Linked DNA regions of Notamacropus eugenii. The protein of the gene in region 1 interacts with the protein of each later gene in a pairwise test. Links are inferred from orthologs where the notes say so. Each region holds a gene or a part of one and is shown in the gene's direction. Other genes may lie near its edges.

The links.
Region 2: the proteins of CCDC136 (region 1) and HDAC4 interact in binary tests that used the Homo sapiens proteins (3 or more experiments, as listed by UniProt). The two-hybrid records come from large-scale screens. The link is inferred for Notamacropus eugenii from reciprocal best matches to the Homo sapiens genes CCDC136 and HDAC4.
Region 3: the proteins of CCDC136 (region 1) and PDLIM5 interact in binary tests that used the Homo sapiens proteins (3 or more experiments, as listed by UniProt). The two-hybrid records come from large-scale screens. The link is inferred for Notamacropus eugenii from reciprocal best matches to the Homo sapiens genes CCDC136 and PDLIM5.
Region 4: the proteins of CCDC136 (region 1) and ASB7 interact in binary tests that used the Homo sapiens proteins (3 or more experiments, as listed by UniProt). The two-hybrid records come from large-scale screens. The link is inferred for Notamacropus eugenii from reciprocal best matches to the Homo sapiens genes CCDC136 and ASB7.

What each region holds. Positions count from the first base shown.
Region 1 is NC_092874.1:121,335,294-121,342,775, reverse strand, and holds the start of CCDC136 (coiled-coil domain-containing protein 136), read left to right. Parts: upstream 1-4,481; 5' UTR 4,482-4,941; coding exon 4,942-4,999; intron 5,000-6,442; coding exon 6,443-6,547; intron 6,548-7,482. UniProt on the Homo sapiens protein: May play a role in acrosome formation in spermatogenesis and in fertilization.
Region 2 is NC_092873.1:67,091,875-67,099,887, reverse strand, and holds the start of HDAC4 (histone deacetylase 4), read left to right. Parts: upstream 1-5,001; 5' UTR 5,002-5,276; intron 5,277-8,013. UniProt on the Homo sapiens protein: Responsible for the deacetylation of lysine residues on the N-terminal part of the core histones (H2A, H2B, H3 and H4).
Region 3 is NC_092878.1:131,766,190-131,773,728, forward strand, and holds the start of PDLIM5 (PDZ and LIM domain protein 5), read left to right. Parts: upstream 1-4,526; 5' UTR 4,527-4,648; exon of another isoform or gene 4,649-4,699; intron 4,700-6,050; exon of another isoform or gene 6,051-6,151; intron 6,152-7,539. UniProt on the Homo sapiens protein: May play an important role in the heart development by scaffolding PKC to the Z-disk region. May play a role in the regulation of cardiomyocyte expansion. Isoforms lacking the LIM domains may negatively modulate the scaffolding activity of isoform 1.
Region 4 is NC_092872.1:154,030,229-154,037,508, reverse strand, and holds the start of ASB7 (ankyrin repeat and SOCS box protein 7), read left to right. Parts: upstream 1-4,269; 5' UTR 4,270-4,838; intron 4,839-4,960; 5' UTR 4,961-5,032; intron 5,033-5,272; exon of another isoform or gene 5,273-7,280. UniProt on the Homo sapiens protein: Probable substrate-recognition component of a SCF-like ECS (Elongin-Cullin-SOCS-box protein) E3 ubiquitin-protein ligase complex which mediates the ubiquitination and subsequent proteasomal degradation of target proteins.

The sequences.
Region 1 (7,482 bases):
TGAAAAAAGGTCAGTTGTTGGAATAAAACTCAAAAGGCTGCAGGGAACAACTGAGGGTTAGGGGTGAGAGGCCAAGACAGTCAGGAGAATTATTTTCATGAATCTATAGGAAGGATGAGCTGCTCAGATGGGATTAGGAAGGAGGATGAGCTCCTGAACACGAGGATGGAGTTTATTAGAACCAACTCTTCTCTGAGCTGATTACTGAGATGACAGGTTTAGGTCATCCCCAGTGGGCATCCCACAGGGAGGCATCCCACAGGTGGATAGGGCATTACACTGGGCTTTGGAAGAGTTGGGGTCCAGTCCCATCTTTGCCTCCAAAATAGCTGTGGGACTGAACAAATTACTCAGCCATTCCCAGCCTTAGTTTCCTGACTTGTAAAAGAAGGGGGTAGAGGAAGGCTGGACTAGATGACCCAGATCTATAAGTCTCTGTCTTTAAGAGAACTGGATTTGAGTACTAGCTTTAGTAATCCACTCAGCCGCTCAAAAATGTATCACATGCAGTGAGCTAGAAAGTAGTTATTCCTGAATCTTGGCTCATGCCAGTGGAGTCCCTTGAGGCCAATCTGATTGGTTTTGCCATTCTATAACAGACCAGACTCAAACCCCATCACCAAGGTTATCTGGGTCTAGGATCCCTAGGAATTCAAAAAACTCAAGGCAAATGAGATGACCTCGACTCTCAGCACAGAATACTGAATAAACTCAAGATAAACTTAAGAGTCAAACTAAGGCCAGTCTGGACCCCTGGGTTGTGGAAGACACAGAATTAACCTGATACATCCCAGTCTCTGGACAAAGGTAGAGAGTATAGCCAGGTTGACAAGCTGGAAGTTAGGACTACTGAGTCCAATTATGTGACTCTCTCTCTCTCTCTCTCTCTCTCTCTCTCTCTCTCTGAGATAGATTTCTCTAGAAACAAAGTATGATGTTTATATGTTTGAAATTAATCCAGTAGAGATTTAGGGGTTGGAATAAGGTTGTGTGTGTGTGTGTGTGTGTGTGTGTGTGTGTGTGAGAGAGAGAGAGAGAGAGAGAGAGAGAGAGACAGAGACAGAGAGAAAGAGAGACAGAGAGAAAGAGAGACAGAGAGAGAGAGTCTGGAAAATCTCTCTCTTTTTAAAGGCAGGCCTAGTATTTCCTGCTCCAACAAGCTATCTATATCCTAGCGATAGAGGCAGCTAGGTGGTACTAGACCTGGTGTCAAGAAGACCTGAACTCAAATCTGGCCTCAGACTTACTAGTTGTGTGACCCTGGGCAAGTCATTTAACTTCTGCCTGCCTTAGTTTTCTAAACTGTAAAGTGGAGATAATAGTAGCAACCACCTCCCAAGGTTGTTGTAAGGATCAAATGGGATACTTGTAAAGTGCTTAACACAGGACCTGGTACATAATAGGTGCTTAATGCCTGTTCCTTTCCCTTTCCCCCACAGCATCTCCTTCCTCTGCCCTGCCCTTCTTCTGTGACCCTGGTTGATTGGCACCTTCCTGCCTGTGATCTCAGGGAGGGAGACTAATGAGACTCACCTCCATAGAACCCTCCTTATAAAATTTCCGTACTACCCAACTGGGGAGTTCCCTGAGCGACATGAAGATGGAGGCAAGAGTACAAAGGAGAGTTTGATGGATCATTGGACCAAATTCTAAGAACAGCCTCTTACAAACCCACCCTGGCTTCCCTTGTGCGGCCACGGTGAAGACTCCCTTGCAGTACTTTGGTTGTATCATTTCCTAGCCCTTCCCACGCCTGTTTTTGGAGTCTTTCCCAGCTGATGTCTGGGGGGGAAGGGGGGAGGGCTTCCCTAGTTTGAAGGTATCAATCCTGGCACTGGCTAGGGAGGAGGTTGTAGGCTGCCCCAGTGTCCTTCCCTTGTTGCCTCTGCCCTCCACCCCTCAGGTTTCCTTGAGCACCAAAAGTGGAGCTCCATAGCCTTCTCTTAAGAAGTCCCAATAAAAAGGCCTGTGTCTTTCAGCACTGATTGGCCCATCCAGTCCTTTCACAAAGCCTCTTTAACCTTAGCAGCAAACAGTAACCTTGTGAATTTGGCAGAGATTGTGTGTCAAAGTGTATGAAATGTATAAAACTGAAGGACTAGGACTGTTGATTTGTACATGAAGTCATGTGAAAAGACTGCATCAGAGTCATAACATATTTCTGAACCTTGAGCAGTAGGCTGAGGGTAGGTAAGAGGAGAGGAAGCAGGGGAGAAGGACCTGTGAAGTGTAGCCCCAGCAGAAAGAAATGACCCAGGGAATGCTCTCAGGTTTCTGAGCTGCTGAAGAGGGACAAAGAGCTCCTGGGATGGGGCAAGCAGAAGAAGAAAGTCTGATGGAATTAGGTCATCAAAGCAAAGGAAGTCTTTAGGGGGACACTCTCTGGATTATCCACCTGAAGTCTAACTCCAGATGGCTGCCCCTAGCAATGGTTCTGGATTCCATGTACACATGTAAGTGTTTGCTTCATGTATCTGGGAAGCTGGAAGAGCCCACAGGATATTCCTTTTCCTATGTGTCTCTGTAAGTATAGACACAAAAGACTTTGTGTATGTCGTTAGGATCATGGGTCTATTTCTGTACTGCCACCATTTTCTGTTGTGTTACCAACTCTTTTCATAGGTGAACCTAGCAGTAGAGTCCCATAGGCAATCAGCACCTGGAGTATCATTAATACTCAGTAAATTGAGAAGCAGTGGTGGCATTAGTGGAGAATATCCTGGGCTTGAAGTTGGAAGGTCTGGCTTTCCACTGGAGTCTGCCATTTAACTAGCTGGGTGACCCCACTTGACCCATTTGGGCCTCATTGTCTGAAGAATGAGCAACATAAGGTCTACCCTGCCTACTCGACAGGGTTGTTTGGAGAATGAAATAATATATGTGAAAACATTCAGTAGCACAAGTATGGCACATGTATACATGCATATGTGTGGTACAGTAGAAAAAGCAGTAGAGGAGACTGGAGAGAGGACTGACCAGAAAACTGGGACCATATGGACTCACGACCTGCCTCTGACACATCCTGACTGTGGGATCCCAAGCAAATCAGGTAATCTCTGGGTCCCAGGCACCTCTCTAAGGCTACAGGGCACATTGGTTGACATTGGTAGACAGAGATCCCTATTAATGAAACCAAGCCAAAACAAACAAAAAACAACCCAACACTATGTGTACACAATTCTTATAATATACAGTGACAATTATATATCTACCATATCTACAAAAAGCTGATCTGGCTGAGGGCCCTATAACTAGCCTAAACTCCAATCCCTGCTTTGGCCATTAGAAAAGATTAAGACCTGGCCATCTGCCCTATCGAAGAGTGCACATCCGCCAGCTCCCAACAGCTTGCAATCTCTTTCTCTGGAATAATCAAAACACCACTACCTTTACTAGACTGACATGCCAATATACATTCAGACTATGACTTGAAGTCTGCTGAGGCCAAAGCTCACACTACCAACACTGTCCCTACATTGTTCCTGGGGCACTCTTCCTCTTCTTCCACTGTGTCCTCTGAAGCCTGTTCTAATGCTAATGAAACTGCCTGGCAGAATTAGACCTATGTCCTTACCTCCAGAAGTTACTTTGAAGATAGTTCATATTTGTTGCTGTTTAGTCATTTCTGTCATGCCCAACTTTTCTTGACCCCATCTAGACTTTTCTTGGCAAAGAGACTGGAGAAGTTTGTTGTTTCTCCAGCTCATTTGACAGATGGGGAAACGGAGGCAAACTGAGCTAAGTGACTTGCCCAGGGTCACACAGTTGGTGTTTGAGGCCAGATTTCAACTCAGGAAGACAAGTCTTCCTTCCTCCAGGCCCAGCACTCTATCCACTGTGCCATTTAGCACCCCCATATTTCATATTTACTTCCAAATACATTGTTTCCTTCCCTTAGATCATAAGGTCCTTGAGGGCAGGGACTGCTACATTTGATTTGTATTCCGAGCACTTAACAAAGTGACTGTTATGAGGAAAGATATCTCACTATAGCTTGTGGAATTCATTAGGGAATTGTATTAGAGAAAGAGCAAGGTAGCAGTTTAGGGTTTACAAACAAGGAAACTATTTCAGATCCCATTTAACAAAGGGCTGCGTAGTCAATGGATATAATAAAGCCTAATGACCCCGACTGACTATAGAATTGATGGGAGGCAGGGAAGAGAGAGGACCAGAAATACCGGGCTTCATCCCCCCTGTCCCTTCCATGCGTCTCTTTCCAGCCTCCACGTCACCTTAGGTTCCCCACTTGGTCTGTGGGCCTGGAAGCATCCCAGAGCCAGGACAAGCCCTGAACCCGGGGCAGGGAGCTGGCCAGTCCAGGGACTTCGGCCTTGGGAGGAGGGTGTTCTGCTTAAGATAATACAGGGCAGATTATTCCATCATCCCAGGGGGATGCTCCGCTTTACCTCGGCAGCAAAGCCAGGGATATCGGCCAGGCCCCGGGGTTCCTCTGCGCAGACCCCCTCCCCACTTCGCAGCGACTTGGGGGGAGGTGCCGGGAGGCTGTTGAGCCCTCTCCCAGCAGGGCTCCCACGGGAGCAGCCACTTCCTGAACCTAGCCGTCCATCCAAGCTCTCGGTTTGCCCCCCAGTGAGCCTGTACTGTTCTTGCTTCTTTGGGCCAAGGGTCAAGGTGCTCCCACCTGAGCCAGGAATGTGTGCGAGCCCCTTCCCAGGAGCACGCCAGGCGGGCGGCGCGCAGTGACCGGCCGGGTGGGGCTCCGGGACCCTGAGAAGAGAGAGGCTCCAGCTCCCCCCTCCCCACCCCACTCCCGCCTGCGGTTGCGTCAGGTGGGCCGGAGAGGAGACAGGAGGGGAGCCCGGGGGGCTGGGCTCGGTCCCCGCCTGGGGCACGCCTTCCCAGCAGCCCCTCCTCCGCTCCTCCCGCTCCCCAGGCTCTGCGGCTCGGTCCCGAGCAGGGCCGGCAGCGGCTGCGGCCATGGACACGGAAGCTGGGGATGGACCCGAAGCCACGAGCCGGCCCAGCCAGTGCTCAGGTCAGGGCTTTTGCTCATCCGGCTTCTCCTTGCCCTTCTCCATTTCTCCTCCCCTCCTCCTTCCCCAGGCCGAGGTCTCCATCTTTCCCATCCCTCTCCCCGCTCTCCCCGCTCTCCCCGCACGTCCAGCCCGCCGCTGCATCCTGCCTTGAGAGGCTCTCTGGTCATCCTTGTCCCCCCAGCCCCCGCGAAGCGGCTTCACCGCCCTCCCCTCCCTCCCTGCTCGGCTCTGACCCCGGGGCTCTTGTGGGTGCGCACAGATTCTCAGATCCCCTCTGGCACTGGGCACAGTGAAGAGTGGATAATTGGGGGGGGGGAGGAGTAGAAAATCAGGTAGTATGGTGATGATGGCATTTTATTCCCACTCCAGATAACAGAACCCCCTTTGCCATTGCCCCTTCCCTAACCCCCAAGCTTTTTCTCTTCACTTCCTCTCTCCCGTTCCCTCCATCTCTACCTTCTGCTCCCTCTCTCATCTTCCTCTCTTTCCTAAATATACATTCTCTGGCTTATGTATGGAGAGAGACAGAGACAGAGCTGGGTTTAACAGACCTAGTCAGTTCTGACTGTCCAGTCAAAGTCAATAGTAGAACTGGAAATATGGGAGATAAGAAGCAGTAGATGTGGGAATGTAAGCAGGGGAAGGGGAAGGGAGTGATTCACAGGGTCAGGGTCAGCAGCAGAGCTGGGTGTGGAGGAAGGACAGAGAGAAGATATGGGGACCTGTGCTAGGCAGGAGGGGGGGGAGGGGAGAAGAGATTCACAGAGCCAGGGTCAGTTGCAGAATTGGGGGTGGGGCAGATAGAAGCAGATGTAGGGGCCTGTGTTGGGGCAGGGGCTGTCCAGAGAGTCAGAGTCAGAAGCAGAGCTAGGGGTGGAGAGTGGGCAGAGAGAAGCAGAGATCTGTTGTAGAGGGGATTCACAGTCAGGGTCAGCAGCAGAGGGGGAGTAGGGCAGGCAGAAGTGGAGACCTACAGTAAGAGGAGGGAGTTAGAACCGATGGAAGCAGTAGAAGTGGGGGACCTGTGTTGGTAGGAGGAATCAGAGTCAGGAATCAGCAGCAGAGCTGGGAGTGGGGCAGCCAGCAACAGCAGCAGAGATGAGGACTTTATTTGTATTAGGATGGGAGGGGGGAAATTCAGAGGCAGAGTCAGGTGGAGGGATGGCAGTGGGGTGGGGTAGAGTAGAAAGCAGCAGCAGAAGTGGAAACCTGGGCCAGAATGGGGATGATGGCAGGGCCAGGGTCAGCAGCAAAGCTGGGAGTGGGGTGGGAGAGTACAGCAATTGGAACCAGCAGAGGGGCCATAGCTGGGGGATAGGGGACATCAGAGCTAGGAATGGGGAGATGCTTGGACTGACATTAGGATTCAAGCACCCATGACTTGCCTAGGATGGGTATACTCCCCAGCCTTTCCTGTGCCTCTCATACTTCTCTTTCCATAGGATTTCCAGTGACCCCTGCAAAGTCCTGTGAGGGATCTGAGGGCTGTGAGAGGAAGAAAGGCCAATGTTGGGGATCCCTGGAGCGCTGGGGTCAAACCATGGATGGTGAGTTTTCTTGCCCTAAAATGCTTTCTTTTCTTTCTCCCTTCCTACTTTTCAACTCCTTTCTTCTCTCCCTCCCCCTGCAGCTCCTAGCTTTGACTCCATTATTTCCCCCGAGCTTTTCCTAGAACCTTCCTCATCTCAAACTAAGGCCCAGTAGTCACCCTAAGGCTTTGGGGAAGGGAAGCAACTACTTCAAGGTTTCTTCCTGAACACACACGACTTAACTAGGGTCTATCTCATGGGGCTGACTCTGCTAGAAGGAAGCCACACCACCCCAAAAGATTTCCTGATGAGCTTTTTCATCTGAGACACTGGTCCTCACTTCATCCCAACAATGTTACCTGCTCCTGCCCCCAAAATTGTGGTCTGTCTTTCAAGCAAGGCTCCCCTCTCCCCACAGCTTAGTCCTTCAAGGTTGGAAGGAAGACACCAGAGTGGAAGAGGCACAGTCTTATCCAGAGGGCTACAATTCAACCAGCATTCTGCTGCACTGCTCTCTATGAAGCCATCCCCATTCAGGGCTTAAGGAACATATTATCACCTAGGGAGCAATCCCACATTTGCTTCTCTGGAGCCCAGATGGCTTCCAAGGCTTCTACCCAAAGTCTGAATTTCCCTAGGCCAGTGGTCAAGCAGATGTCCTGGGAATTGATTCTTGACCTGGGTGAGGGCTTGAAATCAATAATTCTACATTTCTTTCCAGCTCTCTGATTCTCTCTTTACTTGTCCCAAGTTCCAGCAGTCAGAACTAGAAGGAGCCAGGTATTCATGGGCAAGCTTTCCTTTCTTCTCAGCATCATGCTTTGAAGCACCCCCACCACCAAAAAAAAAAAGCCTGTCATTGTGAGAGGCCCCACCCAAATGAAACTGGTCAGCAAACTCCAGGAAAGGTCAGGGAGAAAGATGAGAATACCCTGAGCCCCAATTCTATAGGC
Region 2 (8,013 bases), on another chromosome or scaffold:
TGAGCCAAGGATGTGCTGTATTGGTGGCCTGATTAATCCACTGCTGGGCTGGGCCTTTCCTCAGGGTTGGCTCCTTTTTCCAACCTTTCAAAGGCCTCCAGGTCTTTCTTTTTCCAACCCTCCTTCATTTAAAATCAGAAAAGAGTCGGGCAAGAAGAGCCAAGACAGAGGTCCACAACGGTGAGAGACTTCCTGCTCCCAGCTGGCAGCATCTCATTCCCTGGAGAACTCACCAGATCCTGCTTCTCTGTGGGAGTCTTTTTCTATGCTCTCTCTTTTCTGGTACAATGGCCGGTTAATAGCAATGACCATCAGCACCATCACAATAGCCAACATTTATTAAGCACCTACTGTGTGCCAGGCACTGAGCTCAGCACTGGTGACATAAGAAAAGGCAAGCACAGTTCCAGCCCCCCAGGGACTCACTGTGTAATGAGGAGACTGGGAGTAGGCCACCTGGTACCTATGAGACATCTCAGCTAGGAAGGCTTAGGGGAAGGGGGTGGGGCAAGAGAAAGTGTGGGACTCTAAGACATTTGTCAGCTTGTCAATAAACAATGATTAAGCACTTACCAAGTACCCACCACTTGGTAAGCCCTGGGGATATAGTCACTGGACAGTCCCTGCCCACCAGGAGTTCACAGTGGAATGGAGGAGGCCACAGGCAACAAATGCCCACAAAACAGGATTATTAGGAAGTACCTGCCAGAGGGAAAGTGCTGGAATTTGGGAGAAAGCTGGGGCTAATATTTGTAAAGGGCTATGTCAATGCTACTCCTTATCTAGCCTGAAGAAGAGAGGCCCTGGGAAAGTATTTAAAAAGCTAGAGTGTGGACGAGATTTTAGGACACCACTGCAGGATCACTGACTGAAAGCTGGCAGGGTCCAATTTAGGAGAACTTGATTAAGGGCCTACATCACACAGGGAGTAAATCGGGAATCTGGGGCTCCACTCTCAAGGTTGGGACTCTGACCTTGACAGCCTAGGCCCACTCTTTTGCATAGCAGAGGCCAGAGCTAGCTCAGCAGGAGAGGTAAAGACCCTTCCCAACAAGGAAATCTGGTGGGAGCTGGGGGGAGTCAGTGTCTGAAGGGAGGCCTCCTGTCGCTGGGAACTTTCTAGTTGAGGCTGGATGCCACTTGTTGGGCGTGTAGGAGAATGGTTTTCTGTTAAGGTCTGGGTTGGATTGGACAGATTCTGTCTAGAGTGTTCCCCTACCCTTATGCTGACTCAATTTTACTGCTGAAGACCTAGAAAGGAAGATTTGTGACCTAGGTTGTGTCTTGTTTCTGAATATTCAAGTCTCTTCAAAGTAGAGGATGCCCCTGGCTGACTTACTCTTCCTCTAATGCCTGGACTCAGGGAGGGCAGCCTTTCCAGCACAGAGAGGACACACAGAGAGGCTGACCATGACAATCCAGAGAGGAGCAAGAGGCCCCCCAAAGCTGAGAAGCAAAGTCCCTATATTTCACCTCATTTCAACGTTCTCAATAACTGATGACGCCATAAGTTCACAGCTCCAGGACTGGGCAACACCTGGGAGGACATTGAGTCCTAGGAAACTGAGGTTCAGAGAAGTGAGGTCACCTGCCCAGGGTCACCATCAAGGAAGCCTTAAGTGCACAATTTGAATCCAAGATCTTAACACAGAATACCACTCTGCCTCTCGAATGTGGGACAAGCTGACTGTACACAAGTAGACTTCAGGCCTTGTTAATTAAAAAAGCCATGTTAATTCTGAAGGGCCTCCAACCTTGGATGGGCCTAGCCTTCTCGACAATTCTGTGAATCATCCTGCATAGAGCAGGTTTGTGGATGACACAAATCTGAGTTCCTGATACACTGAGCTCAGTGGGGTATGCTGTGGGCTTCTGAGCACCTGAAAGGTTGGGTCATGGAGGAGGAATTCATGTGATTTTGCTTGGCCACAGAGGGTTGATGTGCCCCAGTCTCAGGAAGGCCTTCTGAGGGCGAAGGACTCCACAAAGAAGCCAAGTCATGGCTTGGCCTAGGTGTATGTCTTCTTGGTCTGTCAACCAGGAATTATTCCTTCAGGGCTTGGAGGAGGGACTTGTTAGATCTGGAGGGTCCCATCAAACCCTAATTTAATGACTGAGCAAGAATAGTAAAGCCAGACTCAAACAAAGCCCTATTAGATGGTGAGCTCCTTGAGGACAGGGACTGTTTTGGGGGCCTTTCTTTGTAATCCCAGAATTTACAGTACAGTGCCTAACAACTGTGGGTACTTAAACAATGCTTGTTGATGACTACAAGCCTACCTATGAGGATTCATTTCAGAGTGCAGAGGCGGTATCTAGCAGCAGCAGAGACCTTTCCTTAAGCAATGGAGGAAGGGAGGGTGACTGATCCTCAGGAGCAGCCCAAACCTCTAGAGTGGAGGGATGGAGACCTTGGCTGTCTGAAGCACAGTGATGCTCTCAAGTGGCAGGCTGGCAGGGTGGAATTTCATTGTCATCACTATCCCTGGTGATCCCCTCACTTCTTATCCATTCATTCTAACTCCATGTTTTATATCTGAAGTCTCAAGTGTTGCCCCTTGAATGTGAGATGCCTTAGAAGGTCCCCGGGAGCTTGGGAGAGGGACTGATGTTGGGAGACATGGAAGCCTGGGAGTTATCTGTATTGAGCAGATCACGGAACCCTTGGGAGCTGAAAAGTCACCAAGAGACAGAGGGGAGTATTGAGAGAAAGGGGCCCAGGAACAATTCTCGGAGTACCCATCCACTCTGCTTCCCAGAAAAGATTCAGAGATTACAATCCACAGTGGCACTCTCAGCTGGGCTGGGAGTGTGGACTCAAGCCTGACCTGGAGGAGACTACCAGAATGTCACAGAAGGCAATTAAAATATTCATGAACCCAGGGCAAAAGTGTGTCTCTGTCCTCATCTCACTCTGGAAAGAATGCTGGATTTGAAGTGAACGCTAATTTTCTGTGTGACCCTGGATAATTCACTTCCTGGCTTGGTGCCTCAGTTTCCAAATATGTAGAATGGAGACAACAGCAGGTGCAGGCAGGGTATCAGTAAGATAGGCATTTGACCAAACTACACCAATTTAAACTGTTGTTGTCATAGAGAGTATCTGACTGGAGAATCCATTATGAAGAAACTGGTGGAAACTCCCTGCAGGCAGGGCTTATCCTTTTCATCTGGGTATCCAAGGGGCTTTGCCGTGTATGGCACAGAGGAGCTATGTAGTCCAGGCTTCTGGCTTCCTCCAGCATTCCTCAGAAGCTCAGAATTCAGCAGAATTTGGAAGAGGCCTTCAAGACCCCCTCCCCCCAATCTTCAGGACAAATGGTCACCAGTCTAATATTCCAGGTCTCCAGGGAGGGGGCCCATGGCACCAAAGCCCTCTCAGGCATCGAGTTTCCCCAGATCTCATGGGCCCAAGGCCTCAGTTGGTCTCAATTCTGCTTTCAGGAGCTGGGCCGGACAGGCCTCATCCCTGTCCTGCTGGATGGTCGGAGGGCAAGAGGACAACTGCCTCCCCAGCGGCCAAGGCTGCAACTCTTAATCCAGTTCAAGTTGCAGGTTGCTTTTTGGCCGAATTTCCCCAGGCATCTCTGGTTGTGGAGTCAAAGACCTTGGTTCCTCTGCTTCAGCCCACAAGATCTCAGTTCCTCTTTCCAGGCCATACATCTCCAGCCTCCAAGCCTTTCCTCAGGCTGAGACCTCTGCCTGGAGTGCCCTCCCTTCAAGCCTCACCTTTTCTTGGAAACCCTTCCTAACCCTCCCCGTGGGTATCTAATTTGCATACAGGTGACTGAAGCTTCTGCCTATTGGAGGGGGGGATCCTGGGGGCAGGGCTGGCCTTGGTCTCTCTTTGCATCTGCACTGAGCACACAGTAGGTGCTTAATAAATTTTGGAGCCTGAGCGGTGCTTTTGATGGGCTGCACTGTGTGACCTTGGATAAGTCCCTTTCCTCCTCCGGGGGCCTGCCATGCCCCACCTGGACGTTATCGGAGGTCCTTCAAAGCCTCTGCAGCTGGGGGGAGCCTCGGTTTCCTTCCGTGTAAATCGGGGCGCCGGCCTAGGGGGGCTCGAAAATCCCCCAGGCGCAGGGTCACGCACAGGGTCACGCAGGGGCGTGCCCAGTCCGACCCCGAGACTTCTAGGATTCTCGGACCTGGCGCCGCTGTGTGACCTCGGGCAAGTCCAGCACCCTCTCTGGGCCGGGGCAGGAGCAGCTGAGCGAGGAGGAGAGGCTGGGCGAGACCCCAGAAGGGGGCGCTCCTGCGTCCCAGGGCCGGGCCGCGCTTGCGCACTGGGCAGCGCCCGTCCACTAGCCCGCCCGACTTCCCCCTTACCCACTCACCCTCCCTCCCCGCCCCGTGCAAACGCAAGGGGGGGGGGGGGGGCCGCGCGCATGGCCGAGCCACGTGACCCGCAGGCTCTGCCCCAAGATGGCGGCCGCGGCCGGTTTAACGGTTCCCCGAGCTCGAGCTCCTGGTCCGTTGGGCCCCTTCGCCCCGCCCTCCTGCGCCCGCTCCGGGTGTGGGTCCAGTCTCTAGGCCAGTCCGACGTGCCCTGTCCCGCTTTTCCTGCGCGCGCGCGCCCCCTCACCCTGGCTCCGCGGGTCGGCTCTAAGAGGCGGGGCCGGCGCGCAGCGCTATTGACGGGCAGCCGCCGTAGCCAATCGGCTCCCGAACGTGCCTCTCCGGGGCGGGGTTAACCGGCGCTCCGTTTTCGCGTCGGGTCCTTCGGCTTTCGGGAGAGGGGCGGGAGCGACCTGGGTGGTGCCCCCCTTCCTCGAGCCGACCAATGGGAGGGAGGAGAGGTGCCCTTGGAGGGGCGGGGCCGAACCGTAATTGACGAGCGCTTCCTTAGGAGTCCGGGAGGAGGGAGGGCGGCGAGGGGGTGGTGACGCAAGCCCAGGTACACCAATAGGTGGCGGGCTGCGGGCGGCGGGGGCGGAGCCGTGGCCACTGATGGACAGCGCGGGCGGCCTATGGACGAGCGGCGTGGTGGGGGGGGCCTGAGCCTCCTGGTTCAACGTGGGTCAATTTTTTGTGAATGAGGAGGGAGGTTGTGGGGCCGCCGTCGCCGCCGTGGTGGGGAGCGAGCCAGTGCCCGAGAGCCCCAGCCCCGCCACCGCTGCCGCCTCCGCAGCCCGGCCCGGCCCGCTCCGAGCCCGGAGCCGCCGCCGCCGCCGCCGCTCCGAGCGCCGCCCCGGGCCCGGCCCGCCCGGGGAGATGCGGCCCCAGAGGGAGGCGATGCCCGAGCCGCGGCCGCCGCCCCGGAGCCCGCCCCGGTAAGTGCAGGGCAGCCGCCCGGGCCATTGTCCGCCTCCGCCCGGTGCCCACGCCGACCCGGGCCCCGCGCTGCCGTCCCTCCCTCGAGACAGACAGACAGACAGACAGGCAGACGGACTGACGGAGCCCGGCCCGGGACACAGACCTCCCCCTCCCCCAGCCCCCGGTTCTCTGCCCCCCTCCCCCAGGCGCGGGTCCCCACTTGTCATCCCCCTGCCCCCTCCCCCAGCACCGTGCCTGTCATCTCCGCCCCCCAGCTGCGTCTCCCCCCGGGCTTCCAGCGGGGCTCGGCCAGCTCCCCCAGCCCCTGCCTCCCCGCCCGGCCCGGCTCGTTCCAGGGCGCCGCTGCTGCGCCAGCAGGTTGGAGAGCATCCTGCTGGGGGGGGGAGAAGGGGGAGGCGGCCCCAGACCCCCACCCAGCCCCCCCGCCGCGCTTCGAGCAGAACGGCCGATCTCCTGGGGAACCCCCTCCCCGATGGGGATCGGTGACCCCAGCGCTGGTGTGGGATTTGGGGACCCCCCCAGTCCAGCGCCAGCCCACCCCTCTCGTAACGTCTGGAGTCTGGGGGCTGCGGGGCTGCTGAGTCCCAGCCTGAAGCCCTGGGCAGATTGAGGACAGAGATAGGTGCCTGGCTGCCTGGCGTGGGCTCCCCGAACCGGTTTGGTTTGGCGTGTGTGTGTGTGTGTGTGTGTGTGTGTGTGTGTGTGTGTGTTGGGCGTGGGGTGGGGGGGGCGTGGGGGGGGCGCTGAGCAAGGAGCTTGCGAATGGGGAGGCCTCGCCACTCGCGCCCAGCCCCAGACTGCAGAGGAGTGAGCGCCTGGCTGGAGCAGGACTGACCCATCCTCCAGGGGAGGGCTGAGCAGCGGGGACCCCACGGGCTTGGATGCGTCTCGGGTGTGTGTGGGGGGCAATGGGGAGGGGAGCTAAGCCCACAGTAAGAAACTGCAGTTCTGAGGCTTCATTTTGTCAGAATGGAAAAAAGGAGCGACCGCTGGCTGAAGTCGCTGCAGCGGAATCCATCCCTGTGCCAGGGCCGGGATCCGCTGTAGGGGGCCTGGAGATCATGCAGCTGGACCTCTCCTTGCCCGGGAAACTGAGGGCTGGGGCTTGAAGCAGCTCAGATCCCTCCCAGCCAGGAAGGAGGGTTGGGCTGCCTAGCAGGCCTGGGTGGCTTTCATTCGGAATGGTTTTCTCAGCCTAGGGATGTTGCTGGGTTATATTATCAGAACTCCTCTGGCATTGCAAAAACACAACATGAAATGAGAGGCAACTTATCTTTTATTTCCTCTGTACGCAGACTGATTGGCCACTGGAATAGCTGGAGACCTTCTGTGTGCCCCAGAAGGGCCTGTCTCGGAAGGAAGGCCCATCAACAATTTCTAATAACTTCTCTCTCTGATTAGGAAGGTTCCTTTTATTGGGTGGCTGGAAATTGACCTGCTGTGACACAATTTTCAAATAAAGCTTTGTAGAAATTAAACTTAAGTTATTTTAAACTAATGACTTTCTTAACTAAATCTTAATTGCATGACTACAGAGACCAGCCTAATTGCCTAATGAAAAAAATGCCTGCTGGTTCTAGGTAGGGAGTGTGTCTCTGTCAGCATCACCGTTACCGGTGGTGGTGATGGCTGGGCTGGAGGCTCAATCTCCTCTGCTTGCCCCTCCGATGGCCTTTCTGGTCCTACCACAAGTCCCCCGAAAGCATCTGAAAGCCTAGTGCCTTTAAAGAAAACAGGCTGGGCAGAAGTAAACAAACAAACCGACCAGACTGCCAGCCAGCCCTGCCTGTCAGCCTAGCCTCCCCCACCCCCTTTTGTAATAGGATCGGGCCCAGGCGGTTGCCTGGAGTTTTAATTGTTTCTGATAATTCCCTGCCTTATTTTAGGGGCTTTAGATTCAAAGCCGCTGTTGTGGTTTCTGAGCCTCAAACTTAATGGGGGTGTGTGTGGGGGGGTGGGATGGAATGAAGAAAACTCAGCTGCATGTGTGCAAATAGTCACCGCGGCAATTACGAGGCAACAAAAGTTATGGCAGCATTTTGCGGTAGCTATGGCAACACGTTTACGCGATTATAATTGGAAATGCAAAATGCCACCCAGTCAGAACTTTTGGCAGTTGTAGATTTGGGGGTAGGCTAAAGCTGGAAGTAGGCCTTTCTCTCTCTTCTCCTCCCAGGCGCCAGAGGGGCCCCCCAAAAAGAACATCAAGGTCTCTATCCTTTTCTCTTTATTAGACTTTCTGAAAGTTCTGTGATACATCATATGCATAACATCCCTCTAAATTGGTGGCACCGGAGAGCTCAAATATGTGTGGGAGGGAAGGAAGTATTTTCATGCCTTCGATTTTTTTCTTTTTAAAGACTTGGATCTCTGTTCTAGGCTTTTGTTTTAAAGATCAGATCCTTTCCCCAAAGTGAGCATCCACGAACCAGGACACTTGGGGTGGGGGTGAGGGTGTCTGGCTTCTTCTGCCAGCTCTGCCCTTGTTACCTTGCTTGGGGTCTCCCCGCCACTACCACTTGCTGGCCTTACTTCACCCCCTCTGTCAAGTTAAGGGTGTGTGCTGAGTGCCCTCCAAAGGCTGGGAGGAGAGATCCCAGCAGGATCTCTGGCTATAAGCTTGGCCTAGCAGGCCATTACCCTCTTTCTGATTCATCCTCCTTCTCTAGCTAGGTGAAAACCTATTGAGGCAGATGAGGGGGTGCTCTGGTGGAGGGTGGAAGGCCCAGGCTG
Region 3 (7,539 bases), on another chromosome or scaffold:
CTTCTATGGTAGACACATTCCCAGATTCTAATACTCCTATTCCTGTGCTTCAGGATCAGCAAACACTGAGGCAAAAAACTGTGCTGTCTCTTCTCTTTCTCTATACTTCTGTGCCTCTTCACCTCAGCCCTACCCCATGAACAGCTCCATTAATTTCAGCCTACCTTTTTGCCTTCATATTCTGGAATTCTCACTTTTATTGGGAAGAAACTTCTTTCTGTTTTAGGGCTCCTCACTTTTCACATTTTCTTAACTTAACAGAAAGATGGCTTTCTTTTGCTAGAATAATCCTCTTCTTCCTGCTCTTTAACTATTGGTATTCCCCAAGACCACATCCTAGGTTCTCTTTTTTTTCTTTCACTATTCAGTCTTTCTCTAAGTGATCTCATTAGCTCCCATGTATTCAGTGAGCATCTCTATGCACTTGACTCCCAATCGACAAATCGACAAATATAAACCCCAGTCTTTAGAGTCCTACATCACCAAATGCATATCGGGCATTTCTCGTTGGGTATCTGTCCCAAAGGCACATCCAAAGCAGAACTGATCATTTCTCCTTCCCCTCCCCCTTCTTCCTAACTTCTCTATTTCTGTCAACAGTACCATAGTAGTAACATGGATTTAAAACTGAAAGGGACCTTAAAGGTAGCCCAAACCCTCATTTTATAGATGAGGAAACTGAAACACAGGGAGGTTAAGGAGATGGGATAGTTAGACAGATAGATACAGATATAGATATGTGTGTATGCACATATGTAATATAATATAACAACATAATAAATATAATGTAACAATGTAATTTAATATAACATAGTTTAATATATATTATGTTTATATATCATATATAATTTAATATACATTACATATTAATATATAGTTATATATAACATAAATATATTATATATAATATAAATATATAATGTAATAAAATATGTAATATAAAATTATAACTATATATAATATTAAAAATATTATATATATAAAATATAATTTAATAACATACCATAATATAATACAGTATAGTATGACATGATATAATATATGATATAATATGATATGATATATTTGTGTAGTCAAATAACAGATATGTTATCTGAGTCAAGATCTGAATCCAGATCTTTCTGATTACAAGTCCAGTGCCCTAGTCCACAATACCATGCTGTCTCCTTCCTCTTGTAATCACTCAGGAGCCCAGCCTCTCTATTATCCTCCCCAAATCACTCTTTCCTAGTCTGCATATCCAATCAGTTGTTGAATCCTGTCAATTCCACATATACAACATTGTTCATATCACAATCACTACCTTCTTTCAGGTCTTCCATCAGTTCTTACTTGGACTATTGCAATCACTTCCTAATTGGTCCTCCTACCTCCCTTCTCTCCCATCTCTAATCCATCTTCCACATCGATGCCAAAGTCATATTCCCAAAGCCAAGTTCCAAGCATGGGACTCCCCTGCTCAAAAAGCACCAGTATCTCCCTCTTACTTAAAGAATAAAATAAAACTCCTCTGGCTTTTAAAATAATTCACAATCTGGCTTTAATCCATCTTCCATTTTCATTCTCCAAACTCTCCGTCACTTATTCTAGGTTCCTGCTCAGTTGGACTATTCTGCATTTGCCCAGGCTGTCCCCAGGCTGGGTTTGCACACTGCCTCCTCACCCCTATCTGTTAAGATGTCTAGCTTCCTTCAAGGTTCAAGGTTCAGCTTAAGTGACAGTTCCTAAACTAGGGTCCATCTTGACTCCATCCCCTTTTGTTCTGCCTTCCTCCTAAATGCTATTTTATAATTTTTTACATATTTATATTTCTTTACCTATGTGGATGTTGAATCCCTTCAATTGAATATAAGCTCCTTGAATTCAAGAACTGTTTCATTTTTGTCTTTGCACCCCTAGTCCCTCTCAAAGGATATGGCACATAGTACCTGCTCAGTGCTTCTTGAATGAATGAATGAATGAATGAATGAATGAATGAATGAATGAATTGCTTCAAGACTATGTAATTTAACCTCACATCTACACATGGCTTTAAGGTCTGCAAAGTGCTTTTCTCCCAACAGCTCACTGACATACAGAGTACAAGTATTTCAACTTCCATTTTACAGGTTAGGAAATTCGGAGTTTAAGCGATGCTGAGGTCTTCTGACTCCAAGTCCTTCTGTAACATATCAAAATATCCAAATGCAAAATTATTTAGGCATTAGCCACACTTATTCACACATTTAGACACATGCTGCTCTTTGGCTAGATATTGGGCAGCACTAAATAAATATCCGTATAGAAGCTGGGAAATAAGTTAGTAATTCAGACAAAGGGAGGAATTAGTGACTTGAGCATAGCACCAAGAGAGACCACCAAGCCTGCCTCTGATTTCTACCAGCTGTGTATTCTCAGACTTCTAATGTCTAAAACTGAAATAGTAATGCTTGTAGTATCTAACTCACAGAGCTGTCCTGAGACTCCAAGGATAGAGCCAATAAAAAAGATTTTATTGAGTACCTACTGCTAGCACTGGGATGCTCAGCAGACTCAAAAGTGAAACAATATTTGCTCTCAGGCAGTTTATACTCTACTAGGGGAGACTATATTGCTATCCACACGTAAATCAACAAAGGAAATTTATATTTTGCCCCTTTGAAGATCAGCAAAGTTCTTTCCATACCATGATGGATCTGTGATCTCATTCCCTCCAAAAATGCATGTCAGTCTTGTGTATGTGTATGTTAAGAGAAAAGTAAAGCATATATCTATGTGTAGATATAAGAAGAGGGACTGGCATGTTATTTCATGAGTAAGGTAAGGTAATTCCCTCTGTTGTTTCAGGTTAGCATCTTTTATGGAATTTACAGCCCTGAGAAACACCTCCAAGCCTAGGAGTCATCCTCCACTTCTCACTCTCACCCCTTCATATCCAATATTTTGCCAAGGCCAGTGGATTTCATCTCTCAAATATTCTTCTCTCCTCTTACTGTCACCACTCTGGTGCAGACCCTGATTACCTCCTGCCTGGACTCTTCAACAGCCTGCTAGTGGGTCTGCCTGTCTTTCTCCACTCCTATCAATCCTCTATTCAGCCACTAAAGTGATTTCCCCAAAGCACAGGTCCCAGGATGTCACCCCTTCTATTCAATAAACTTCAGTGGATCGTTTTTACCTCCAGGATCAAATACAGAATCCTGTCTGGCATTCAAAGACCTTCATAACTAATTCCTTTTTCCCCTTTCTCCCAAAAAAAAAAAAAAAAACCCCTTTCCAGTTTTCTTCTGTTTTTTCTAGTGAGACAATCAAAGTTGACTTGCCTTGAGTCACACATCTCTGAACCATTAAGCATCTGAGACTGGATTTGAACTCAGGTGTTTTTCTCCCTCTGGGGCCAGTACTTTATCTACCAAGCCGCCTGGCTGCCCTCCTTTCAGTCCTCTTACACCTTACCCTTTCCCACCATTTTCTCATCTCTTCATCCACTGACACTGCTGTTCCAGAACCAGATCTCTAGCATTTTCTCTGGCCGTCCTCCATACCTGAAATGTCCTTCCTCTTCATCTCTGCCTACCGGTCGCTCTGGCTTCCCCTCAGTCCCAACTCAGACCCCATCTTCCCACCTTCTACAGGAAGTCTTTTCCCGCGTCTCAATTCTAGCGCCCTCCCTAATTAGTTCTCACTTATCCTATATAACTTGTTAGTACATATTTGTTTGCTTTTCTCCCCCGCTGAGCCCCTAGAGAACTGGGACTATTTTTTTCTGCCTCTTTTTCTTCTCCAGAGCTTCGCCCAGTGCCTAGCACATGGTGAATGATTAATAAAGGTTTATTGACTGTTATTGTCTGAAAATCTAAGCGATTTGCCCAGGGTCAAAGGCTGGACTAGATGCTGACCAGGTCTTCCCTGATCAACTCTACCCACTCACTACTTCTCATATCTAGGGAGTATATGTATTTGTAATATAATGTTACGTATTTTCCATAAATGATACGAGGCCCTTTTCAAGCTATACAGTGTGATACAATCACCAGCGATCGTTATTCTCCCAGATTTCTTCACTCCTGGGGGAAGGTGGGGGGAAGAGGGGAACTGTCACCCTTTCTTCATCTGAAGTATGGGATTCCTGGCCTTTTCCTTCATTGAAAAGATACTGATTGTACCAAAGTTCTATGAGCACACTGGAATCTCCTGTACTATATAGGAGGGGATTCCCTGAACTCGCATGGCTGGGGAAATCTTAGCCATCGGCATTTCCATTTTAGTAAAAATTTGATTACTTTATAAATACAAGACATACAGAGAAAGAAACAGAGCTGCGGAGGAAATGGGAATCTTTGCGATGTGCCACTCTGGTTTCCGAGGTAGGAAGGCTGCGCTTCAGATGCCCCTGGCCACCTTTCCCCTCCTGGAAGGCTTTTTCCTAGCGCAGCTATTTTCCCTGTCCATTTTCCCTATACTGGAGACACACTTCCCGATCCCTGGAGGGGAGTGGCCCCGGGAGCCAGCAGGGCCGAGGACTTCCCCCCTGGGCCGGGACGTGGGAGGAGCCGCGGGAGAAAGTGGAGGCGGAAGTGCCCGCTAGGAGCCTGGCTCAGCCGCCTTGGGAGTCCGTCACTTGTCAGCGCTGCCCCGCGCCTGAGACAGCGCAGCTCCTGCCCTGTGGGTGAGTGCCCGAGCCCGGCTCCCGGGAGGACTAGCGGTGAATACCCTAGAAGTGAGGAGGCAAGGGAAAGGGGAGGCGTGGAGGAGGACAGAGGCGCGAGCGGTCTCAGTCCCGCAGCGGTGCGGGGTCCTCAGGTGCTCAGCCAGGCTCCGGCGCCAGCGGAGAGCCTTGTGCCCTCCGGAGCGCATCGCGCCCGAGCTGGCTGTGGAGGGAGCGCGGGGAGGTGGCGCGATCACCGGCAGGGAGGGCTGTGGCCGCTGCCCGGGGCCCGGGGGCGGAGAGGGAGGGGCCGGCGGCTACCGTTTGGGGAGGCTCGGTGGGAGCCCGCTAGGGAGTGGGAGCGCGGGCAGGCGGGCGAGAGGCGGCGGCGGCGGCACCTTCGCCTACCCAGCCCAGCCCTGCCCAGCCTAGCCTTCCCGAAGCGGAAAGAGCCTCCGGGCAAAGCCCCAGAAGCCTCCCCCGCTCGGCTGTGCCAGCCGGTCAGCCTGTCAGCCCGCCCGCAGCCATTGGCTCCTGGGCACTGCCTTCATTTACACTTTTTGCTGATTATTTTAGTGGGTATTTCTCTTCTTGGGGGTGGGGGGTGGGGAGAGCAGGAGGTTGTTTATTTCCTTTCCTTTGAAATACACATGCACATGAATCTGTCTCCGAGAGTTGCTTTTCTTTTGCAAAAGCGAATTATTTACAGTTGTGTAACCTGTTTGTGGCCAGTTCCAGCTGAACCGGCAATAAAGTAAATCCTCATTAATAAATTTTGAAAATACAAGCCAGTAAGGAAGCTCCTTGAGGTCAGAGGCGTTCAGTTTTCTCCCTATTCCCAGGGCCAGACAGAGTGCCTAGCATTTAATAAATGCTTTTTGCACTAGTCTGAGCTACAAATGCTTTTTTTTTTTAAGTATTAGGTATTTCTTTTTAAGACTTTGTCTTTGACAACAAGTGGGAAAAAATAAAAGGGTAGAACGAGGCCGGGAAGAAATAAGTGCTCAGAAAACAAACTCATAGCTAAGCTGGGTTGGGCAGGTTTAGGGTGTGATCGCTCGATCTGATCCTCGGGTTCAAGCTTCCTGACTGTCAAGGCGTCTGAAACCAGCCAGCTCCTGCGCCTTATTTGGCCAACAGGGAGAAGCGGGAGCCTGCCTTATGGAAAGCTGCCTGGCCGACCTCTTTCATCCTGTGCCTGTAGCTTTTTAGCCCTTCAGCTGTAACCTCCCGTGTTCTTAACTCTCAACCTGTCCTAGGAGGTGTTTTGGTAGAGCAATGAGTTTTTCTGTTTGGATCGTTGTTTATTTTCATTACCTTCTGGTAAATGGGAGGCTTTTTTTTTCTTCTTAAAAGACAGCTGGAATACTGGAAGTGTGTGGGATAGATACTAAGCTTCCTGTGTGTGTATTGTTCCTTACAGGCTGCAGCCACTTTACAGATTGTTTTGACTTCCCAAAGAACCCAGATCCATACGAAATCCAACATTTTTTACATTTCTAAATTTAAGTTCCTGTCTGCTGGGTATGTTAAGTTTGGGGGGAGTTGTCATATGATGGTTTTCATGATACTCTGAGAAATTCCAATAGTAATAACAAGACTTAAATATATTTTAAGGTGAGCAAAATATGGAGGAAAATACAGAAAATAAAAGTACAAAGCATATCTTCTTTGACATTGCTGGTACAAAATATTTAACAGTGAAGGAGAAAAAAAGGAAACCTTAGATTAACTAATTGTACGCGTTTATATTCACATTACATGAGTTTTCATGCAAAGAATATTAGAGGTCAGAGGAAGTTGAACCAATTGGAGCTATTTGTACCTATAAAATACAGAGTCAGTTTTTTACGTGGTGGGGAAAGACGTCAGCATGTGGTTTCTGAATTGGCATTGCCATCTTTCTTTAATCAATGCAAAGAATTTCTTTTTTAGAAAGGGGAAAACACAAGTCATGTAGCTCTGCTTACTGCTTTTTGCAGTTAGGAAATATTCTCATATGTGCTAGAAATTCTTCCAGTTATATAGGGAGCCTGCTCTTTAACCATTTAGGCATTAATTCAGCATTACTTCCCTGGGGGGGAAAGTAGTCTAAAATCCTGTAATCTGTAACCTAGTTTCATCTACTTAACTTTGATCCATGGCTGGGCATCTTCCAAGATTTCCTTGTATTTTCTGCTGTCTTTTCCTTTATGGAAAGCAGAAGCTAGTATGAGGTAGATAGGCAGTTTTTGGTTTTAGGACCCTCAGTGATTCGTATTTGTAACTGTGATTATGAATATGTCATAGATACAGAAATTTAGATCTCTTGAGATCCTGAAAAAATATTTTAGAAGTGACTGTCAAAAATATTGTAAATGCTTAAAATTGATCAGCAGTCATCACTACAAGGGAAGTGACTATCTATCTAACTATCATCTATCTATCTAGATATAGATATATGTATTTATACACATGTATATGTATATATGTAAGTACACACACACATATATACACACACATTCACACACATTTTTCCCTCTCATTTTTAAAAGTTTCACATGGTTGCTTTAAAAAAAACAATGTGGCTTAAACCTTTCCCTACTCCCAAATAATCATATAAATGTGCAGACTTTGTTTCTGTAAATTCAAATGCAACATAGGGCTAATAGTGGTTTAAACAGGGGCACACTGGAAAGCATTTTATCTTGTAGGTTATGATTCTCCCATAATTTCTATATTAGGCATCTGGCATCTGTTTTATAGTAATCATAGGATCATGGAACTGGCAAGATCTTCAAGGTCATCAAGTCTAAGCCTTCACCCTACTCCCCCCAAGACAGTTGGGGTTAAGTGACTTGCCTAGGGTCACACAGCTAGTAAGTGTCAACTGTCTGAGGCCAGATTTGAACTCCAGTCCTCCTTACACTAGG
Region 4 (7,280 bases), on another chromosome or scaffold:
CCCAAGGTCTCCCAGTGTATCCTGGGTCATCTCCAGTCATCCTGATGAATATCTGGTCACTGGATTCAGATGGCTCTGGAGGAGAAGTGAGGCTGGTGACCTGCACAGCCCTCCCTCACTCAAAACAAAGTCAAGTGCAAGTCATGTCATCATTTCTCTGAGGGCATGGTCTTCTTTGGCAATGAAGGACGAACACAAAACCTAAGCCAAACTGGGACCAATTGAAAATCTTAGCTTGAAAAGACCAAATGCATCCTGGGCCGTGTCCAGTTGTCCTGATCTGTATCTGGCTACTGCACCCACATGGCTCCAGAGGAGAAAGTGGGGCTGATCACTTTGCACAGCCCTCCCTCACTTTAACTCAATTCACTTGCTTGTCATGGCCTCACTTCTCTAATGTCAGGGTCCTTCTGGAGAACAAAGAACAAACAGCAGTAGTTGTGTCCAATTCTTTGTAACCCCATTTGGTGTTTTTTTGGCAAAGATACTGGAGTGGTTGCTGTTTTGTTCTCCAGTTCATTTTACAGATGAGGAAACTGAGGCAGACAGGGTTAAATGATTTGCACAGGGTTATGCAACTAGTAAGTGTCTGAGGCCTAGCACTCCAAATACTATGCCACCTAGCTGCCCCACTGCACCACCTGGCAGGCATTTAAATACATAGTTGTTAAATAATACAGAAAATTATGTTTTGATGATCTGTACTTTTAAATTCTGGACCAATGGTATGATCTGTGGTTACATTAAAGAAGACACTCTGATTGTTTTGAAAACCATTTTAACTTCAATTTAATGAGCAGGAGAAGGAGTATGTAGTAGCAAGGTACTACACAGAATCAGAAAAACTGGGTATCAACAACTAGCCCAGTGACCCTGGGCAAGTCACTTACCTTTTCTGGGTCTCAGTAATCTCACTTGTGATATAAATGGTTTGTAGTAGATTCATTTCCCAAGTACTCCATTCCAGTAGTAAAACAATCAGTTTTACTATCAATGTAGTTTTCTAAAATGGAATTTTTCATTTTGAAATACTCTGCCTGTGGAAATTAATAGTATAACATAAAAAAAATTACTAAGGATATTGAGAAACTATGGGCCACTAAAAAGTACAAACTTTACAAATTTATTAATTCAACAGACTTTATATTAAAGGCTAGGTATAAAAGGAAACAAAAAGTGTAAGAACACACACACATTCAAATACAGCCTCAGATTACCTGTAACCTTGTGCAAGTCACTTAATCTTGTTTGCCTCAGTTTCCTCATCTGTAAAATGAGCTGGAGAAGAAAATGGCAAACCACTCCAGCGTCTTTGCCAGGAAAACCCCAAATGGAGTCATGAAGAGTTGGCCACAATTCATAGGTAGTAAGGGTCTCCAGGTTTCCTTCTGTATGACATTTTGTTAACTACATCAAGCCTGGGCAGGCTTCACAGCCTCTTAAGTGATATTTATTATCAAGAGTTTGGCCTACTGATCTACAAGGGGTGGGGGTGGGGGGAACAAGTAGATGAAGAATGCCTATTGTGCAGCAGGCTATAATTCAGCTACATAGATAAATCATCAGTACCTATATCTTGAACAGCCACCTTGAATAGCAGTGATTTAATTGTAGAACTTCCTGGGAAGAGGAGAGTAGGCTGTAGTGATTTTGGAAAATCAGACAATATTTTTGAGTTTCTCTCTGTTTTTACCCTAACATTTTCTTACAGCAGAGTGTAGCATTCCGCCGTATTTAAGGCATCCTCAAACAAACACACAAACACACACACACACACACACACACACACACACACACACACAGGATTGTCAAGCCTTTGATGATGGAGGTCCTTTCATATCTACAATCCCAGAGTAATCATTTTTTACATACTTATTTGAATACTTTCAAAATCTATTTCAAGTGGGCACACTGCAGCAATGCAGATCACAAAATGGCTTTGCTCAGAGATGGTTCAATGGACGGCTGAAGCCAAAAATAAACAAACTTAATTTTCTTTCCAATCATTTGGTGAAGGTATTCTAAACTTAGTTACCTAGGTTGGACCCTGGAGAACAGACCGAAAGGGTCCATACCTATACTCACGGTGTTTTCAGCTTAGCAAAATCTTCTGTGGCCTGCACTTTGCAGGTATAACATTTGAGGACTAAGGATTACCTCTCCAGAAACAATGAAGCAGTACAGTGGGAATTCAATGGGTGTCTTGTACAATGCTGTTCAGTAGTTTTTCAGGCCCCATTTGGTGTTTTCTTGGCAAAGATATTGTTGTGGTTTGCCATTTTCTTCTCTAGTTCATCTCACAGATGAGGAAACTGAGGCAAACAGGGTTAAGTGACTTACCCAGGGTCACACAGCTACTAAGGGTCTGAGGCTAGATTTGGACTCAGGAAGATGAGTCTTCCTGACTCCAAGTCCAACACTCTATAGGCTACCTATTGTACATAATTGGTGCTTATAAATCTTCGTTAAATTGAAGGCTTTCAGGATATGTAGGCTGAGGAAAGATTAGACTCTCACCAGTCTTAACAATTATACATTCCCAAATGTCTAGCCACCCTGTTCTAAAAAGTTGAAGTTTCAATTTGTCATGAACTAGCAAGAAATGGAGACAGGTCAATTTCACAGAATTTATGAAATGAAACTAAGCTCTTTTAGAGCAGGAACTATTTTTTGCCTTTACTTGGATCCCCAATGCTTAGCACAGTGCCTGGCACAGAGTAGGTTATTAATACATGCTACTTCACTGAAATATTGAACTACTTCCAGTTTAATTAAGCTTTTTCTAAAAACAGGAATGTTACACTTGAATTTCTATGTCTGGTCTCCCAAGACATGTCTTGTTAGGATCTGTGTATAGGCCCTGTCTGCAGTCTTAGGCTCAATCCCAAGCCTGAGAGCCTGAAACAAGTTATCCAATCCAACTCTCATTCTACAGAAAACAATGACCAGTGGTCTGGCAAAGTTGGGGAGAAGAAAAGGGAAGTTCCCACTATTCCTTATACGTGACGGTACTGTTTAAATGATACTGCATCGTGGAATACATTATAAACTATTTAGAAGGAAGTAAAGTTTCATTACTTTGGACTTTACAAATCTGCGATCATCTGGTCTGTGCTCAGAGCTCGTAGAGACTTCACACCCCATGAAGGCTTACTTTTTCAAACTTTCTCCATTTGAAAAAATCCACCAAGCAAAAAATAACATCAACACGACAGCAATTTGGTAACATCTTTAGAAGCTAAATACAGTGGTTACGTGAATTAAACATAACACTTATTCCCGAAAATTGGATGAGTATTATTCATTCCTTAAGCAAAGTGGGTTTTTAAAAATACAGTGGTCCATTAATTAGTCCAACTTCCCTTGCGATTATAAAGCAGCAAAATCTGCACTTTAATAACAGACCATGGGCTTAGACTGACCAGGACACTTAGCATTCACACACAAAACACTTTCCCCACAAAAAGACAGCGAAGCGCGCGTACAAGTGTCCCTTATTTTACAAACGTCTAGTCCACGCGTCTGCTAAGGGTCACGACTTTTGAGGCATATTTAAGCAGTATTTAAGAAACATTAGCAGAACGGTGCCGCCAATGCGCCCCAGAGAACTCACACTTCCGGTCCTCTCAACTTCTCGAAGCGCACGTGCAGAGCTCCGGGCTGCGAAGTCCCAGCGGCCCCCGCGGCACAGGGAAGGACGGGGGCTCAGCCGGAAAGCGGAGCCTGGCGGAGGAGCCGGGGGGAGCGGCGGGCTCCCAGACCTCACCTGTCTCCACCCTCGGCTTCCCGGGCCTACTGCCCGCTTCCTCCCTCCCCGAGTCGGCCCTTTCCCCTTCAGTCAGTCTCACAAACTCCTTGGAGAAGATTCCCCCACTCGCCCGCGTCCTCCCCTCCTTCCATCACGTCACCGTTTTTATCAGCCCAGGAGTCCCGAGGAAGCAGCCCCGCCTTCACGCTCAGGATCCAAGTGGACCATGGCTCCCAGGGACACTACTCTGTCCCTACCTCCCGGGCACCGTAGTTCCAAGAGATTCGTATGCCCTCCTAGTCTCCGCCCACCGCATGCGCAGAGACCCCTCCCTCGCGCGGTGGTCGCTTAGCAACTTCCCCGAGTCCTCTCGCTAGGGGCGGAGTCTGGAAGGGAGTGGAGAAGCGGTGAGGGGAGCGGGGAGTGGAGCCAATCGGAGACGAGTCCTGGCGCAGAACGGCACGCCTCTTCCAACTGTCGCGAACGCGCATGTGGCTTTACGGCAGAGGAGGGGGGGTGGGGGAGCGGGGAGAAGGCGGAGAGAAGAAACCAACCAACCAACCAAGCCACCCCCACCCCCACCCACCTCAGACCTGGTTTACGGCTCCGGGCTCAGTCCCCTGTGAGGCAGCTGATTGGTTGGTGGGGGGTTGGTCCCTTCCCTGTGACCCCAAAGTGCTGAAGGGGGGCGGGGGTGGCCCTGTGCAAAGTGCACCCAGAAAGCCCCCCGCCTTGAGCCCCCCGGCCGGCCCCCTCCAGCCCGCGGCCCCCTCACACCCTGCAGGAGCTGATTTCTTCCTGCCCAGAGACCTTCCCGGTCCCCCCACAACTGCGGCGCTCCTGCCCCCGACATCGGCAGCCGCTGCCCCGGGCACCCTAACTGGCTCTCCCCCCCACCCCCTGCCCTGAGGTCCCCCCAGATCAGGCTGCCTCCCCCGCTCCGCGGTCCGGGCGCTCGCCGGCCGAGGCGAGGCGCTGAGGAGAGCCGGGCGCCCGAGCGGTCCGGCCCTGAGGCGATCTCTTTTCATGGAGAAGTTGGTGGCCGCGGTGGCGGCGGGGAGGAGGAGCAGAAGCCGCTGAGGCTGGAGAGGTAGGAAAGTCAGTTAGGTCCCGGGGGCGGCGGCGGGGAGCCGGGTCACCTGCGCCCGCTCCCCCCGGCTCGGACCCGGCTGACTGCTGCCCGCCGGGGCTCTGCCTGCTTGGCTTTTCCAGGTTCCCCGGAGACCCGAAAACGGGAGGACTGCCGAACCGGCGCCGAAAGCGGGCTCCGCTGCCAGTGCCCAGGTGAGCCTCCTGCCCTCCCCCGCCCCCTCCCGCCGGAGCCGGGGCTTTATTTAGGGGAGCGCCCCGGTCCGCGCTGCCCGGCCGGCCAGGCAGAAGCCCCGCCTGCTTCCTAACCTCGCACTCCTAACTTCCTGGCCCCGGGGCTGGGGGCTGGGTGCCATCCTCGCCTAGACTCCCCCTGCCCGGCTTGGCCGCTGGGAGACCTTCGGGGACGTTTTTATTTGTTTGCTCCTCCCGCAGGGACTTCACAAGTCACTGGCTTTGCTGGTCAGTTTTTCAGGAAACTGTGATTTATAGGCATTTTCTCCTTGACTTTCCTCATCTTTCCAGTGGTCAGCCTATGAAATTTGGAGGACGCTGATAAGCCGTTTGAACGTGGATGTAGATAATCTGAGTCCTAGAAAATGTATCGATTAATCTTTGTACTTTGAATTATTTGCAGAATTTAATTTGTCATCACAGTATGTAGAGAAGTCACGATTTTCACTTTTTTTTGATAACTTCAAATTTGAGGTGTAGATAATGGACTTTTACAAACCAAGCCAAACACAATGCATTTCAGGATTTCACCAAGAATGGTTAACATCTCACAATATCTTGACAACAGGGGATTATTGTGTTTGTTTGTTTGTTTTAAAGAGAGGGGGGTTCACGTTGAGGTTGGTTTTATCTTAGGCCGCGGTCTGTAGGACTTTATTTTGGCAGTCTTCACGGTTGGCCTGCTTTTTAAATGTAAAAATCTTGCAGAAAATGTTCGGCTACTATTTTAAAAGCTGGTAAAGATGTTAAAAAATCCTCCATTTGGGGGTTATGTTATTGAAAGTGATTGAGAGGTAAATTCAGGCATTTATACAGCCCATACACTGGGAGACAGAAACAGGAAAATTGGCTAGGGAAAATTTTATGTAGGAGTTGGCCAAACGAACAATATGTTTCTGACATACAATGACATTTAAGGATGTAAAATGACTTCTAATTACTTCTTTCATAATCTTTTTAATATTTCAAATTATTTGGGATGTTTCCTTTTCAGTTACAGTTACAAAGCATCACTTAATTGCAAAGGGAGTTGGTAGGAAGTCTTTACTTCACCTCACTACCCTGTGGCCTTGTGCCTTCCTTGTGGAAAACAAAAATTGTGTCATTAATGGACCTTTCCACTGTCATTCTGAGATAATTCCCCTTCCGATGTGTTGCATTTATAACTACTGTGAACCTTAATGGGAATTGACTATCAGAGGGAGAATGTACTGTGCTGAATACATTTTACAGTTACTATGTACTAGTTAAAGTAGATAATATTGGTGAAAGTTTAATGTCCCTTTTGTCTACTCACAGGCTTTTGCTTGTATTTTTGTGGAGGGAGGTGGAAAGAGACATAAATATGTATAGAATCAAAGACAGAGACCTTTATTTGCTACATTTCAATAAAACTAGGCAGTACAGTCAAGTTGGAGGATAAGTTTCCACATTTAAATATAAAAATTTCAACTGCGGATAGTACATATGTTAGGATTTTTTCCCCTAAACTCTTTAGTTTTTGATATCAAAATGAAGTTCTCTGTTATGCAAGTTTTCTCACTTAAGCATGTTTCAAGCTTAAATTTAATAGAACATATTTCCTTCTGAAGGTTCTTTTTTATATTCCTTTGCTAAAGTACTACTAAAGCCTTATTAGAGTATGCAAACAATCCTGGTTTCTGAAAGGGGGTGATGTGAGTGAAGTAAAGCTCTGGAAGGAGCTATCAAGGTGGAAGGACATGTAATTCAAAGACAGTCCTAGTTAAATTTGGAGAGGTTCGTCACCAGAAGGTTGACAACCAGGTGATAAACTCATTTGCCCACAGCAGCATATGAAGACCACATATGTTGTGGAAGGGTTGTGATCTGTATTGGGAGGAATACCCACACCAGTGAAATTGGGTCATTTGACATAATGAAGATTTTGTTTTAAAATGATAGTCTGTAACTAAAGTGCAAATTTAAGGTAAGGAAGGTTTGCCTCCATACCCCACAACTTGGCCAGTCCATCATCGTTTTTGTTGTTTGTGTTATACCTTTTTAATTTTATTTCATTGATTTTTAAAATTTGTTTTATGTCTTTAATGAGTTGTTTTGCTGATATAAGTTCTATCCATCTTTTGTGTCTCTGAGAGTGTAATTGAGAATTGGAGTTGTGTCAGACACTATTTTAACCAGTTTGCTGAAATGTTCTTTATTGTTCATGTCTTAATCCTGCTAGGATTTT